Linked DNA regions of Daphnia pulex. The protein of the gene in region 2 binds, or shares a complex with, the protein of the main gene of each other region. Links are inferred from orthologs where the notes say so. Each region holds a gene or a part of one and is shown on either strand. Other genes may lie near its edges.

Evidence for each region.
Region 1: the proteins of cleavage stimulation factor subunit 3-like (region 2) and cleavage stimulation factor subunit 1-like are in contact, whole or in part, in a crystal structure (PDB 6B3X), measured with the Homo sapiens proteins. The link is inferred for Daphnia pulex from reciprocal best matches to the Homo sapiens genes CSTF3 and CSTF1. Residues at the interface, in NP_001317.1 of Homo sapiens: Tyr581, Pro582, Lys583, Pro584, Asp585, Thr586, Gln588, Met589, Ile590, Pro591, Phe592, Pro594; in NP_001028693.1 of Homo sapiens: Arg118, Glu216, Ala217, His226, Pro227, Ser228, Asp230, Phe231, Thr240, Arg242, Leu243, Tyr244, Cys251, Phe252, Val253, Ser254, Cys255, Tyr270, Ser272, Ser273, Ala274, Asn275, Gly291, Val292, Ser293, Asn294.

The regions. Positions count from the first base shown.
Region 1 is NC_060027.1:1,880,879-1,889,026, forward strand, and holds cleavage stimulation factor subunit 1-like, read left to right. Parts: upstream 1-3,870; 5' UTR 3,871-3,992; coding exon 3,993-4,075; intron 4,076-4,156; coding exon 4,157-4,284; intron 4,285-4,353; coding exon 4,354-4,559; intron 4,560-4,616; coding exon 4,617-4,844; intron 4,845-4,911; coding exon 4,912-5,072; intron 5,073-5,129; coding exon 5,130-5,280; intron 5,281-5,361; coding exon 5,362-5,455; intron 5,456-5,520; coding exon 5,521-5,652; intron 5,653-5,715; coding exon 5,716-5,825; 3' UTR 5,826-5,892; downstream 5,893-8,148. Other genes in the region: protein cueball-like, read right to left, coding at 919-999, 1,098-1,413, 1,470-1,834, 1,900-2,170, 2,234-2,435, 2,503-2,727, 3,516-3,759; isopentenyl-diphosphate Delta-isomerase 1-like, read right to left, coding at 5,961-6,415, 6,472-6,710, 7,872-8,044. UniProt on the Homo sapiens protein: One of the multiple factors required for polyadenylation and 3'-end cleavage of mammalian pre-mRNAs. May be responsible for the interaction of CSTF with other factors to form a stable complex on the pre-mRNA.
Region 2 is NC_060019.1:11,046,801-11,055,374, reverse strand, and holds cleavage stimulation factor subunit 3-like, read right to left. Parts: upstream 5,350-8,574; 5' UTR 5,199-5,349; coding exon 4,980-5,198; intron 4,919-4,979; coding exon 4,821-4,918; intron 4,757-4,820; coding exon 4,492-4,756; intron 4,427-4,491; coding exon 4,112-4,426; intron 4,057-4,111; coding exon 3,865-4,056; intron 3,806-3,864; coding exon 3,392-3,805; intron 3,315-3,391; coding exon 3,226-3,314; intron 3,162-3,225; coding exon 2,971-3,161; intron 2,908-2,970; coding exon 2,773-2,907; intron 2,707-2,772; coding exon 2,486-2,706; 3' UTR 2,427-2,485; downstream 1-2,426. Other genes in the region: GTP 3',8-cyclase, mitochondrial-like, read left to right, coding at 1-39; retinol dehydrogenase 13-like, read right to left, coding at 119-215, 279-486, 553-721, 780-833, 898-989, 1,044-1,318, 1,385-1,455; uncharacterized protein LOC124191292, read right to left, coding at 6,011-6,600, 6,788-7,195, 7,294-8,236. UniProt on the Homo sapiens protein: One of the multiple factors required for polyadenylation and 3'-end cleavage of mammalian pre-mRNAs.

The DNA.
Region 1 (8,148 bases), on a different chromosome or scaffold from region 2:
AGGCAAAACCCAATAAAAAAATTCCCTTCTTCATATATTTTTTTAAAATAGGAAAAAGAAGAAGATGTTGAACACAATAAACAACCCAGTCACTTTGAAATCCTTGGTGGAGGATGGTAGTATATAGGTAGACTTAAAAGGGACTGGAATTGGTACCTATCACGACTTTCCTAGAGAATCCACAGACAAAATTGAAGAAATAAGACAATAAATGGGGGCATTCGGGCACCAACAAAAAAAAAAGACTACAAATAATAAAACGAAAAAGTGCGAATCTTCGCTATAGCATACCAATCAGAATAACAGGAGTAAAGCAATAAAGGCCAAAAATTCACTACCCACTTCTTACGGGTGAGTGCCGCCTTTGTTGCTCCACTCGGTTATTATCATTATCACTTCGTTAGTAAGATATTATTATTGCACTTTCTTTCAATTTGGTTTTGAACCTGTTAGTAGAGTGCAGGTTTGATACGTAACTTGACTGGATGATGTTGCTGGATTTGATGAGCAGTTGGTTTGGTGGCTGTGCGTAAATTGGGAGTGGGGATTTCTCGTGCAACTACGCCTTCGTCTTGAATGATTCGAGGAAAAAAAAATGAATAAAAAAAATAAATAAAGGCATTTAGAGGGATCACGAGTTGCAATGGGGCCAGCTATACAGACACCATAAGGCGAAGTGGAGCCATAAGAACTCAAAACAAACAAAAAAACTGGAAAATAAAAATTACCAGAGCTCATGGCTCCACTCGTTAAGAGATACTATGTTGATGAGATGGTCGTATTTTTAAGTACATTCTTCCCTGTCTTTCGCGTTAATCTACAATTAAGCTTTCATCACATGAGAATAATAATGCTTCCGGTAAAAGCATTATTGGTTCAAAGGGCAAGGGGGTTTACAATGATCGAATCCCATTTTTATCAAAATTGGCAATTAAGTAAATTGACTTTGTCGCTCCATTGGCCCGGAAGTGACGCACCAGATGGCGGTTCAGTGCACGGCTAACAAAGAATGAAACGAAAAAATTCAACATAAACTCTTTCACAAAATAAGTGAAAAAGTTGGAAAACAAAAGTATTCAAATCACCAAATACCGTACCGTTTCACAGATATTCATATTGCAGCAATCTTCGATGTTGATGACACGCTCAGCTGCTGGTCGGTAGTTCTTCCCCTTGATGACTCGCCTCTTGAAACGCGATCGTCCAGAGCTTAATCGCCATACGCGGAAACTCAGAATAATAACAGCGATTATTAGAATGACGCACATGACAGATGTGCTCATCAATGCTATGAAGATTTCGCTGTTCTCAGCCTCAGTAGCTGTTGAGAAAGATGACCTCCCGCAACTATTTCGAGACGTATCAACAGTGTCTGTTATTTCACAGCGGTCACCACTATAGTTCTCTGCACAACTGTACAAGACTTTCGTTAATTATTGCCAACGCATAATTAATTTTTTAAAAATTACCTGCAACTAATTTCGTTGTTGACAAAAAAGCAATGTCCCTCATTAAAGCAATAGCCGATACACAATCCGGAGTCCGTTTCGGAAACTGGGGTAACATGGAACTCTTGAGGCGTATTATTTGATTCAGACGAAGAATCCATTGCCGGTGTTGATCGGTGTTCCGAATGATGAATTAGCTCTGTTGTAGCTGCTGAATGTTGGATATCGATCGAACAATGAACTGGTTGGCGCTGGAGTATGATGACAGCCATGGGTTTATATTGGAAACGACGTAGAGAAACCGGTCCATCGATAGATCCTTCTTTGGGCAGGGACCAGAGAGACTTCTGGTCCCAGTCTGTCCAGTATATGTCATGTTCTCCAACCTTGTCAATTTAAGAAGGAAAATAAAGAAATCTTATGTCAAACGCGAGTAAGAAAAAATAAATACCGTAAGACCGAAAATAAATTGCCCCCGCATTTCATGGCCCTTGCCTTCGTACAAGAGCTCTCTGTCCGATCCGTCAACTTTGCTTCTTTCAATTTGAAAAGTTCCATGACGAAGGTTGTTGGCCCAGTAAATCATTTGCTGACTAACATCCAATCCCAATCCGTGAGGCATAAAAAGTCCTTTATGTACGATAACCTCGCGGTGACTACCATTGAGATAGGATCGTTCAATGGTAGGTCTATCTATATTCCAATTGGTCCAGTACAGCATTCTGAAACAGAATAGAATAATTTAAAAATGTTACATAACTACAAACATTTGATTAACAAAATACCTTGTACAAGGATCAGATATCAGTCCTCTTGGTTTATCTCCTCGGAGCAGATGGACTAGTTCAATCGTGTTGTTTTCGTAGACATGAAGGTCTTCACGTTCAACTACGAATCGGCGAATCGACTGTTTGGTACCGTCAGTCCATAACAGTGTTTTCTCCAGATTATCATAGGTCAAAGCTTCAACCGACTCGTTGGTTCCTCCTACTCATCACGTTCACAAACATTAGCATGTATGGACAGATATCAAATCGCAAAATAAAAATATTACTTTCCACGACATCATGGACAGAGCCTTGAGCCTTGATCCCATCGAATGTGACGCTAAACACGTGCCCTCGTCGATTACGCTTGTCTGAGAAGAAGAGTTTTTGTGAAGATGGATCGTAAGCCAGGGCGACCAGTACGGAAGCATTGTAGTTCTCCAATTTGAGTGGATTGCTTTGAGATCCATTGGTCAGGATTTCAATTTGATCGCCGACAGCAACAATTAAATCTGGAAATGGAAATAAGTGGTTAAGAGACCATTCCGGAACGAGTTATCCGACTCTTGTCTTGCGATCGATGGACTGGCAATCCGATATGCTCTTATAAAGTCTACGTGCTACAAGTTCTAGATGGGAGCGATACCAAAGTCACAGCTACAGAATGAGTCTACGTGACCGAATCGATGAAATGATAACGGATGTTTTAGGTTTCTTGCCGACATTTTGCGAAAAACAGAACACGTTATTAAACTCAAGAATCGGTTTAAATCCGACCGATATCAAAAAGGTAAACTAGTGGTTGTTTTGTTTTGTCTTGAATCCTAATGTTTCCACGTCGGAAATTCGTGGAACTAGTTAATATCTTCTACGCACGAAATTTTGCATTTTACTATTATTAACTTCCTGCAAATAGCAAGGTCGACTAATGACGTGCTCAAGGAGAAAATAGCAAAATATTGACAAACATGAATGCAGACAAAATAAGTTTCAAGGACCAACTACCGGCAGACGATATTTAGTCAATATCAGAAGTAACACGTTTCCTAAGGTATTCCCCGGATATCACGTGAGAATTGCATTTTTATTACAAGAGAAAGCTCGCTGGTTTGTTTTTATGATGTTGTCAATGGATTTTTATTTTCTTTTAAAGCCTGTGTGAGAGCAGAATTTTTTGTGTAGTCAGCTGTAGCAATAGTCATATTTCGATACCAGTGTCGTCTGCTACTACGGACTACGTGACTTGGCTCGGCATTTCCCATTTAATAATCGTATGGTAGGCAAAAATGTGTATATTTACCGTCGTAGGATTTGGTTGCGGCAGCAAGTGCGAAGAAAATCCACACTAATAAGGATCGTGAATTCATATCTCGATCCGTAGGCACAGAAGACAAATTTATAAAATACTCATTGATAAAAAGAAACGATCTTAGTTGAACAAATGATGAGTAATATTCTTTGTCTTCACCGGCCACCGAGACACCATGTACCGGGAAACCTGCCAAACCAACTAAATGTAGTCCGGCCGAAATTCTTGAGATCATGCGCGATGCAACCTTATTCCCTGATCTACTTTGTACTGCCGTGTCTCGTGGCTGGTGCAACACTAAACACTCTGGCGGCTAACAATGCAACTTCCGGCAATGCGCCATCTCGTTTGTTATCTTGAAATCGTATCCTACTTGTCGGCATTTTCTGTGTTTACACTGGTTCGAGAAAGACATAATCTTGTTCTTGTATTTTTCTCGTTCGATTTTGAATATTTAATTCACACAAAATGAAAGACTCCGAAATTTTGGAAGCGATGGAATCTAAAAATGCGATAAAGTTTAAAGAACAAATTTATCGACTCATTATCAGGTAGTGTAACATAGTTAAGTTTGTACTCGAGTCATCGTACGCGTGGTTATATTGTCTTGACGTGTTTTTCCCTTTATGTAGCCAATTATTTTATGATGGTTTCCAATCACTGGCTGTCAGTCTATCATCAGCAGTTCAAGCACATCCAACATGCCCCCCATCCGATCGACTCAATCATATTGTCTCGCTAGGACTTCAGCATGAACACAGTAACTCGATATTCAATGATAGGAAATACAATTTTATAACCATGTTTAATCTTTGGTAATATTTTTCAGCATTGAAGAAACCATTAAATAAAGTGGAGATGCTTTTGGGTCCAGGACTGGATTTGGAATATGAAACTGATGTTCAAACCTCAGCTCCAGAACCAGCACTTTATGAAACTGCATATGTAACATCCCACAAAGCGCAATGTAGATCTGGGGCTTTCAGCCCTGATGGTCAGTTAGTTGCCACTGGAAGTGTTGATGCATCCATCAAGGTGACATGAGCAACACCTTTCTACAATTTCATTACCTAATAACAAGTTCAATTGTAGATCCTTGATGTTGATCGAATGTTGGCTAAATCATCCCCAGATGGAGAAATGGCAACTGATCAGCAAGGCCATCCTGTTATCAGAACTTTATATGACCACGTAGAAGAAGTGACCTGTCTGGAATTCCATCCTCGTGACGCCATTCTCGCATCTGGATCTCGCGATTGCACTGTTAAATTATTTGACTTCAGTAAAGCAGCGGCAAAGAAAGCTTTCAAAACACTATCAGTAACAAAAAAGCTTTTCTCGTGGCCCTTACAGTTCCTATTGAATTTTTATATGATTTGTTTAATAGGATTCAGATCAAATTCGTTGCATGGCTTTCCATCCTACCGGAGACTATTTGGTTGTTGGTACAAATCAGCCCGTTGTACGTCTGTATGACACCAACACCGCTCAATGCTACGTCTGTTCATTTCCGTCTCAGTATCACACCAACGCTATTACCTCACTTAAGTATTTATTAATTGGAAGAAAGCATTTGTTAAACAAATTATAATGTGTTTATCGTAGGTATTCTTTTGATGGCAAACTTTATGTATCCGGTTCTCGAGATGGTTCCATAAAACTCTGGGACGGAGTGTCTAACAAGTGTGTCGGTACCATTAGCCAAGCCCACGACGGTGCGGAAGTTGGATCTGTTACATTTTCTCGCAGTGGCAAAGTATTTACACTGTCGTTTCTTACCCATATTTATAACTGGTTTTAACTGTATGTCAATGTTTTTTTTTCTCTAATTAATCAGTATGTTCTTTCATCTGGCACGGATTCATCTGTTAAACTTTGGGAGCTCTCTTCACTACGCTGCATTATAGCCTACACTGGAGCTGGCACAATGGGTAAGATAATTATTACAAGTATGAGGCTTATATTCAATAATCAAACGTAATTATGGTTTATGAAGGCAAACAAGAGCACCGTGCTCAAGCTCTATTTAACCATTCGGAAGATTTTGTCATGTTCCCCGACGAGGCAACAACATCCTTGTGTTGTTGGGATGCTCGGACAGCTCAACGCAAACAGTTGTTGTCGCTTGGTAAGGAGGAAAAAATTCAATGGATAAAATAATTCATTTAATATCTTGTTGATATTTTTTTAGGTCACAATGGTGCGGTCCGTTACATTATCCATGCGCCTAGTACGGCGGCTTTTCTCACCTGCTCAGACGATTACCGCGCCAGGTTTTGGTACCGTCGCAACCCACATTAGATTAAGCTGTCAAATTGTACATGAATAATTGAATAAATGAGAAAAGCTACACTTTCATCTGAATAAATAATTTTGTTTCTTGTTTGGATTGAAACCGTATAGTTTCTACAAATGACGTCATTAACGTCAGTGCATTTAGAGGCTATGTATAACGGGGTCATACTCTATTCTTTCGAGATTATCTAATTGGTTCCACCATACTTTAAGATGGCTGTTGAGAATAAGTTTGAACCACGGTGTAAAGGGGATGTTATTCTTTTCGAGGTAGCCTTGAAATTCTTGAAAGCCGGATAGGGAGACGAAAACAACGCGGCTCACTTCGTTCGGGTTGGGTTTTACGGGAACGTCTTTCCTCAAAAACAGGATATAATCCACTTCATGTTCACCCCATTTGGCATCAGAAGGTGCACCATAAATGATTCTGGTGAGAATTTTAAAATCAGACAGCTCAATACTATCTGGACTGATGCCCAGTTCAATTTCAAGCCTTCTTCTAGCAGCTCTTCTGATCCCTACATGGTGAGCTTCTTCAGCTTCATCAGGTGTTGTATTATGTAACGGATGACTGCAACAGGAATTTGTATAATAACCTATTACAAATAACACATTTACTAGACTATAGTTACTTTGCTGTAGTCATACAAACCAGGAAAAGTAATTTTGTGATTGGATCTCTGTTGCATCAGTAGCTCATTTTTGGTATTAAAGAGAAAAACACTGAAGGCCCGATGAAGAGGTGGGAGTTGACCATCTGGACCAAGTAAATGAGCTGCTTCCTTTGATAAATTCCCAACTGCTCTATCATTAGTGTCGACGGAAATGCATTGCTCCTGAAGTAGGAGAGCTTGAGTAGGATCCATAGCTAGATGTTGGTTCATTCTGACACTAGAAAATGATGACAGTTCGTTTAACATAGACCAATTTGAAGCACGATTCAGAATAGAAGAAATCTTTCTGAGGACTTTCCCTGCCATTCGTTAAAATATCAACAGAAACGAATACCAAAGTGGCTAATAGAAAAAAAATACTGGGAAATGAGAACTAACAGAAAATCAAACTATCCCACGTGAGCGTAATGGTGAGACTGACTAACTGAGACGTCTGCTCTACAGTAATCAACTAATCAGAATCGGGATCACGGATTCACGATGTAGGATCTAGGATAATAGACAAGTTCGGGATGCTGAGTTGCACAACCGCAAAATTAGGATCGTGCGCCAACGAGTTTTTGTAACGTTGTGGGGATAGTAGAAAGCGGGTTTTTTATTATTTAAGCATAGAATTACTTATCTAATCTTAGAAATGTTCAGGATTATCGTTGTTTAGAACATTCTGCTTTTTATAGAGTAATTTGAAATGTATAATTCAGCTTAGTTTACCCATTAAAATTAAAGAAAGTCCAAGCCTGGGATGCTGTTTAGTCTTTTCTTGTGTTTTTTGACAGATCTGCTGACAAGTGACAAGCTCAAACACACAAGAAAAGACTAAACAGCATCCCAGGCTTGGACTTTCTTTAATTTTAATGGGTAAACTAAGCTGAATTATACATTTCAAATTACTCTATAAAAAGCAGAATGTTCTAAACAACGATAATCCTGAACATTTCTAAGATTAGATAAGTAATTCTATGCTTAAATAATAAAAAACCCGCTTTCTACTATCCCCACAACGTTACAAAAACTCGTTGGCGCACGATCCTAATTTTGCGGTTGTGCAACTCAGCATCCCGAACTTGTCTATAGTATCTCTTTTACAAAATAGTATCTCTTTTACAAAATAAACCCACTTTCCAAATTACTTTTTTTTAAAGCACAAGCTATATATTTATCTACTTTTTCGTAAACGAGTTTTCTGTATAATTTTATGAAACCTGAAAAATGACACCAGTTGGAAAGTAATAGCTACTGATCCAGTGATATGTGTCATTTAAAATTTTCGGAGAATTCCATTCGTTCTCTTTAATTAAGTCTTATGACTATAGTGGCAGAAACAATTATTTTTCAAATTAACTTTTATTAAATAACCGGAGAATTTTCAATTACTTACGAGTAGTGGCAAGGTTCGTTGTTAAATAAGTAAATTTCTCCATTTAGGCGCGACTTTATAAAGGCGCATTTCAAACAATCTAAAAAGTTTCTTTCATAACAAGAAAAATATAAAGGTTTTTTTCTAAAGATGAGAAACTTTGTCTTGATGACAGGGATAAATTTCCATACCATCTGGTGGCGTGGCAGGGTTAGCTAGGTCGTTCTTTTTTTAGAAAATTAGGACGTAACGAATGAAAGGTAAACTTTCAGAGAAATGTATGTGTGTATAAGGCACT
Region 2 (8,574 bases):
AATCGTACAAAAAATGACAATGTACCATTCCGTTGTTAAGTTTAAAATTATCTATTTTGTTTAAACGAATTGGAAAATGCAAATTTAAAGACAGTTAACTTGCAATTTTTATTTTCTTCTAATTTAGACGTGTCCATCGTAAACTAGTAAGGAAGAGTTTTCGAGCAACGTCATCATCCAGAGCTTGGGGTGAAACCTCAGCTTCTGCACAATTACTAATATTCCAGTTCCAAATTAGACAACGGCTGTGATGTTAACACACAATTATTTGAAGTCACCTGAAATATTTCCCAGTTACTTTTTCAAGTGAGGGATCAAGTGCTGCGTATAGAGTTGTCTGCGCTCCTCTCGGGGGCGTTCGAATAAAAGGCCAGGAAAGTGGTTTAAGAATGATGCTTGCAAACCAACTGTTGACAAAACCCATGTGACGAGCAATATTTGTATTCACAATTCCTGGGTGTAAGGCGTTTACGGTCACACCGGTTCCTGGTAATTTTAAATTGATCAGATTATTTTTTAAAATATAGTTTTGAAATTAATTTATTATTTTACCTTCCAGGCGTTTTGCTAGTTCGCGCGTGAACAGAACATTGGCTAACTTACTCTGTTCGTAAGCTGCTGCAGGATCGTACTTTTTTTCCGAGTTGAGGTCATCAAAATCTATTTTTCCTCTTAAATGGGCCACGCTTGAAACGTTAATGATTCGACTGGGTGCGGATTGCTATTAATACAGCGCTTTTAAAATAGGTATGACATCATTTTTAAATATTAATTCTTACTTTAAGTTTATCAAGCAACAGATGGGTAAGAAGAAAATGACCAAAATGGTTTACCTGTAAAAATTTATTATTGTATTGAGATATTGGAGAAACTCAATTTTATTGTATCGTATATTACCCCTATCTGCATCTCGATACCTTCGAGAGTTAAACTACGAGGACAACGCATTACCCCGGCATTGTTAATAAGGATATGCAACTTTGATTCCTCTAGAAAATAGTTAAGTACATTTGCCACAAAAGGGAATCATATAAGAAAAATACCAGAATTAAATCTTGAAGCAAACTGTCTGATTGATTCCTGTGATGCTAGGTCACATTTTCGGCAATAGATGAATTTGTTCCCACTTTCAAGGACAAATTCTTTTCTAATTTCTTCACACTTCTTCATATCACGAGAGGCCATATATACTTTTGCTCCTCTTTTAGCTAGATCTTTAGCTGTTTCCTTTCCAATTCCATCAGTAGCCCCAGTAATAATCACTGTTTTTCCGTCTAATTTTTCTTTACCTTCATATCTAGTTCCACTGAAATATTCTCTAAAACAACATGAATATTTTAGGTCTAGCAGCAAGATTTGCTGAACTTTAGACAATTTTTTTTACTTGACCAGTATGATCCCGCCACCAAATGCTCCAACAGCAGAGAACCATAAATAAGGTGCAGGAATCTTCATGGTTTATGTTTTCTAAAACCTTTTAGGTTTCGATAGAAAATTGAGAAGGTAAAAATTCGAAGCAACTGTTTACATTTATTTCGGCTGCTCGCGATGGTTGCCCATGGGCAACCCCAACCATGACCATGATTTCAAACAGATTCACGATTGTTCACGAATTAAATTATATTTCGTCTGAACCAGTCCAAATTTAGAATATAAAACTGAAGCTGGTTGAGAAATCATTTTTTAATGAATGTATTTTAAGAAATTTAAGGATAGCAAAAGTTGCAATAAGGCAGTTTTAGTTGCAATTTTTATCCGTATGGTGGAGCACTAGGTCATCGTTCGCATCATAACAGTTTTGAAAATGGAACTTGCAGAAGGATGTGTGTTACAATATCCCTTAGAAAAATGTCCGGCTAATTATATAAATTTAGTCGGTAGCAGAGTCGAAGTTTTAACAATTAATCATGTCAAGTTTGTTGGACAAATCTACTCAATGGATCCAATAAGTGGAAGGTTAGTAGAAACCACAAAGTTTAAGACAACAATGCATGCATATGAAGCCATAGTTTAACATTTCTTTTGAATCTTTCATTTTTAGTCTTTTTATGATGGTCGATCGTTGTAACCAAGAAGAAAGAAGCATAAAATTAGTTATTGGAAATTCAATTAAGTATCTCAAGATTGTAAAATTAACATCAACCAATACCAGAACCCTTACGCAAGAGAACAATGGAATGCAAGGACCTGGAGCTAGCTCCCAACATACTGAAGATTGGAAGCCGCTGAAAGATGCCCTGAAAAAATGGTTTCATGAAAGCCGTATTCCAGTGAATGAAAATAATTATGGTTGTTTACTAGTGCTAAATGAAATAGTAGTAGGCCCCCCTTACAGACCAGAAAATTGTTCTGGTACTAATGAAGTCATGTTGTGGCGAGTTCAAAAATTACTAGAAAACTTTTATCAGAAATGATTTGATTATGGATGGTGTAAACAATTATGTGTGTATTTGTGTTTTGAATATTGATCAAGTAAATTCTTTCATCACTTGACTCGCTTCTGTTGTCGTTTCCTGTAAATATCATTTGGTGGCGGTCCACCAGGCTGAGATCCACTAATGGCGATCGGCTCCTCATCTTCAGACTCTTCACCCACCCCTCTCTTTTTTTGTGGACGATCGACACCCGTATCTTTCGGAAGCCAATGAACACTTCGAGCCATGTCAAATAGTTTAGAATTTTCCGCTGTATTTGCAAGAAGAGAACCTAAAATACACCAATAAATGTTAATGTTTAAAAATATAATACAGCCAAGGGAAATCAAAGTATTACTTGTTTCGCTTATATTCAAATGTTTAATAAGCTCCATTACTGGATCGACTACTACAAAAGGACCGTGGAAACAATGCGGAGGCGGTAACATTCCGCACAGTTGAGAGGCTGCAGGTGGAAGCGGAAATCCTCCTCCTGTCCAAACGCATCAAAGAATTCGTTAAGTTGTAATCTAGAAATACTTTGTAGAAACTTTACCAGGCGCAATGTGTTCTCCGGGGGTCCATTGCATCTTCGGCTTGAACGGAACCATCTGAGAAAAATCGGGCTTGTACATGGTAACATCAGCCGCTTCTGTGCTTTGTTTTCTACTTTCTTCCTCTCTAGCAAGGAGGTTTTTAGCATTTTGACTACTACTCAGCTCTGCTACTTCGTAGTATCCCAAAGCCCTTTTAAGAGAATCATTAAAAACAAATATTAGAAAAAAGTTATCAAGTAACATAAGAAACTCACCTTAAATCCGCGGCTGAGCAAGGGAAGAGGGTTCCAAATCTATACCGATCAATAAGAAGTGCTGTTTCTTTACCTTCCAGTTCCTTAAGCTAAAATAAATAACACAATTGAAATGAATCCAAAAATACACAACACTAAATGAAAAAAAAAATAAAATAAAAAATACCTTGTCGAGAACGGCGTTGCGTCTTTTTTCTACTTTGATTACACTCGAAAGATCACCAATAGAAGACTCAAATTCGAGGAAGCGGTTCCAAATTTCAAGCGAATTTTCAGAAGTGAGGGAACCTGATGAAAGAATCCTTTCAAAGAGAACTCTAGTGTTGTTATCTTCATTTAGTTGGGTCAAGAATTCCACATAAGCAAGCAGATAATCAGGTTGATGCTTGAAACGTTTGAGGCCTAGATCGAATATTTTAAAGGCGATATTTTTGTCCTTGGTGCAATAATATTCCATTAAGGCAGCAGCTACGAAAACATGGCTAGAACAGCGGGGATCCTGGCGAGATCTCTTGAACACTAGTCGAGCCGATTTAATACCTTCTGCTCTCCTTGCAAATCGCATATATTGAATATAACCCTGCGAATGTTTTAAACATAAGGGGTTTGTATGTACAATGTAAAAAGTGATAAAATTACCAAAGTTGGGTCGATGTCATGCTGCTCCAAATATTTTGTATAGATCTGATGAGCTTTGTCGTACTTAATTCGTCCCTCTTCGTAATCCGCATAAGCGAAATAAAGCAAACTATTATGTGACATGGGCCCATTAATTGATCGTTCATAAATATTTGAGACTTCTTCAGCTAAGTTCTTGGCAGCCGTAACATCCTAAAAAGAATCTTTAAATTTAAGAATATTGACAGAAATTGGTGCTTTAACTTACCCCTTTATCTGAAAGAGTTTTTGTGCTAATCTGTAGAAAAAGGGCAGCTTCATACCAAACATGAGGATGATGTCCCAGACATAGGAGACATTGTTCGAAAGCGAACATTGTTCTCTTAGTGAGTAGTGACTGGTCTTCCGTACGGAGGGGATTCGATTTCTCCCAAGCCAGATACTTCTTCCACAGTTCCACCTGTTTGTTTTGTTCCGGATGATTGGATGGAGGAGTCGAAGGCATAGCCTTGTTAAGACCGCGAGTGCAGGCCTCTAGTTCTTTGGCAACTCTTCTAGCATTCATGTAATCACGGCTGCGCTCCTAAATAATTGAAAATAAGTGTTTAAAAAGTGTTAGGGTAAGGTTTAAAAAAAAAAAAACTGTACCTGTTGCATCTTTTCAGCAATCATGGGGTTAATAGCCAATTCATAAGCAATGTAATCCTTCCATAGTTGTTCAATGTTAAGCATTGGAGTGATTACACCCCTTTGATACACTTTCCTCACAGCCGTGATCCTTTGATTTTCAGCATAAGATCCAACAGCTTCAACATTACGGAGGAAGTGAATATAGTCATTCCAAATACTGTATGACTGAATATCCATCCCAACTTTGTCCAGTGTAAAATCGTAGCATTGAGCAATTTTTTCTCTGTGAACATTGGTATGATTAAAGAAAACAATATTTAGTGTTTGTATATTCAAGTTTGTTGTACCTGTAGTTGGGCAGAGCACTTTTGGTTTCTTTCACATAGTTAACATACAATTTCCACAGTTCAATGTTTAAAACCTTGACCAAGCATCGTTGAAACAGCTAAAAATAGGGAGGAGCAAGATTGAATGGCTTCATTAGAATGTGCTAAATTAATTGCTACCTTTTCGACTTTATCATAGTTTCTTGCTCGCATTTCTTGTTCAATGTACATTTTCCAATAACGACCTGATGTCGGAAACTGGGCCACCAAGCGTTCAAAGTAAGTTCGAGCATCATCAATCTTGCGTATTTGGGCTTCACGCAAAATTTGACCCCAAGCTTCCAAATCAAATGGATTCGATTCTATAGCCTTCTCGGCTCTTGCTAATTTATCAGCCATTTGTTTATTTTAATGCCAGTAAGCTGAAAATTGTTTATAAATTGATGAACCACGTTTCTACAATTCCATTCAAAATCGCAAACAAGTCACACTTGACAACTTACTGCTTTTGAAATAACATCGTCTGCATCAAGCATCAAGCCTGCAAAAGAGCCTGCCGGCAAGCTCCAGAGATGGCGTTACGGCTGGTTGGTACGAAAATTCGAAGGAAGAGAACTGCTCAGAAATGAGTCAGTCGTCAGTGAGAGAACTTGCAAAAATAATATAGCAGGGTGTGTGCATTTGCATTCTGCCTCTGCGGTTCTGCCATTAACTCTGAGATTTGAGAAACAAACAGATGGCAGAAATCATTCATTCTAGGATAGGGTCTATTTCATGTGAAGTTACGTGAGCACAGGTCTGTCCTTGTTATACTTCCTCGAAAATGGCACCCATCTCTGTAGGTAAACATCAGTTTCATTTATTTTCAGTTTGAATTGTACTACTCAAATCAAGATGATTGCAACGTGACCAGCAATTCTTACAGGTTAAACCCTGGTGATGATACTATAATGTTAGTTTTGTTATCTGCCAAAATTAATGTTGTAATAGGGAAATACTTTATCCAACGTTAGCAGCAATTTCAACAATTATTGCAGGTGTGAAAAGCATTGTATTTAAACAAACATTTATCGAGAAATGAACATGTGTTTGTGTGGGGTTTTTTTTTGGGGGGGGGGGGTATATTATTTAAACCAAGGAACTAGAAAGTTTGGCACAACCTCGTCAGCGTACGTTGACCAAGTTTGTATTTGCTATTTGGTAACGGTTACCTAAAACAAACTATGTAACTCTGTAACTTGTGAATTCGGTAACGAGTCATTTTCCTGTTTGAGAATTTGGTTCCATAAAACGACAGTATTTATCGACAAACAATTCGATTTTTTTAATTGTCGGGTTTGTGACCACGATTGATCGAATACGACCACATCGCACAGGAGGGAATCAACTTCGTCGATAGCGCTGTTAAGTTTAAGAGTCAATTTAAAATTTTTTCCGGCCACAATCTGCGATTCTGCTTTGATAATCCTAATCAATCGGACAGGTCCTGAGTTATTATTTGCAGATATGGCGGTTGTGGCGAAATCGGCGATCTCCTTTATGTAGGCGTCGTCCACGTCGATAGTAGAAAATCCGCCAGTGATTCTAGCAGGAATGTTCTCATTGACTTCTGGTTGTATTTCAATTGGCATTCCGAAAAATCCAAATGGACCGGGACTAGGATGTTTAATACGAAGGATTTCGCCAACTTCATCACCACTCATGAAAACTCGATCAATGGCGTAAATGGTTCCCAAATCTTTTTCCAATTGAATGGCTACCTGTTGGATTTCTGTCTCGTTTACCAGCTGTGTTAAAGGATCTAGAAAAAAGAAGTCAAAATAAGCAGTGATTCAGTTTTTCTGTAAAATCATCCTAAAACAAATTTTAATTGAATTTAGGAAGATTTGCAGCCGATTTTTTTTTAGAGAAGTTCAAATCAATCCAGTAAATATGTTTTTATTTCATTTTTAATGTTTAATAATTTTTTATTTAAATAACTAACTTACGGACTGCTGGATCACAGGCGGCTTGGCATTCTTCTTCTGTTTCAAAAAGATTTTTCGTCTTGAAACAGCCACCGTATACGTAGTTCTCACATCTGCCGGAATTTGGCTGGAACGTCCATGACGGGATGTATGCTTCACATTCAGATCCATCGCTGTCTATTGGAGGTAGGTTGCATAATTCATTTGCGCTCTTGCTTGTGAAAATAACCTCGTTAGAGTCGGCCATGACGAGCTTGTCCAATTTCCCTATATCGTCCGACGAAACATCCTCGCGAACAAAATGGCGAATCAGTACCGACCGGCGAAAATCGGCGTCCATTACGAGAGGATCGCCAGCGTCTTGCGGCATTTGCATCATGAAAGCCATCGATGTGGGTGCAAATAACGTGTAGCCCAATTTTCTTCCGTCTATTTTTTCCCGTTCAGTCAAATAGGATAAATAGTTAGTATTTAATATTAAATTCACTTAATTCTAAAATGCAACTATGAACATTTTTCGTAATTACCAGAACTGGTGAGAGGAAACTCTTTTATCAAGGTTTCACGAGACGCATTTAGATAACCAGCCATTCTCGACAAGTCTTCACGTCCGTCAATAGCTCGCAGTATTTCAGTTACTATGTCAGTCTCGGCTTCGATCGGCGCCAAACAATTGGACTCCTTCAGTTCAAGTGTGTGAGTCCACGATTGATGAAAAACGAGTACATTGCAAATAAGATTACTTCCTACGGCTCCATCGGCAGCACTACCCAGCTCCAGAGTTAGTTTGTAATTCTTACCGGCTACAACCTGCGATTCTGCTTTTACAACTTTGATCAATGCTAATGGCCCCGAATTACTGCTTTCTGATATTCTAGTTGTAGCAAAATTAGCCATTTCTTTGACTGAAGCGTCGTCGGTGTCGATCGGCGAGAAGCCACCGACCATCATCGCCGGAGTGTCAGGAACAGCTTCGATTTGTGGTTTTTGACAGTTCACAGAAGCTCCCAGTTCACGAGCTTCGGTCCAAGAATGAATTACTTTAATTGGTAAACAGTTTGACTTGCTCAGTTTCCGTGTTTGCGTCCATGGCTGATGGAAAACAATCACTTCGCAAAGGGTTTCTTCGGTCTCGCTAGCCCCGTCAACGACGCTACTGAGCTCTAGGATCAATTTATAATTCCTTCCGGCCACTACTTGGGATTCAGCTTTGACTATTTTGATTAGTGATAAAGGCCCAGAATTGCTGCTCTCCGATATGGCACTTGTAGCAAATTCGGCTATTTCCTTGACGTTGGGATCGTCCACGTCGATCGGTGAGAATCCGCCTACTACCTTTCTTGGGCGACCTGGAACTCGGCCTGGAATATGGCGTTTAGTGAGTGAAACCGAAACAGCGCTCTCAATAAGGGTCAATGTTAAGATAACCAACAGGAAGAAAGTCGCTTTTGGAGTCAGTGTATAAGACATGTCGTCTTAATGCCTATGTTATAAACGATAGGAAGTAGCACTTCAAATGGTGAGAGATCCGACGATGCTGCCACAATTTTGAACACTGCGAGCTTCTTTTATGCCGACCACGCTCTTCCTTCAGACCCGCTAGCTGTAAAAACTAGATCAAAACTCGTTTGGAAGTCCTTGGTCTAGATTTTTCATTAGCAGTCCATGGTAACATAACAATTTGAATGACGAAAGGGTTTCAGCGATTTTGGGGTATAGAAAAGTACGTTATTGCAGCTTATCAGCCAATCCCATTCGGAACGATGTCTGTTTACCAATTTTTGGGAACGAAGACATTATTTTATCTA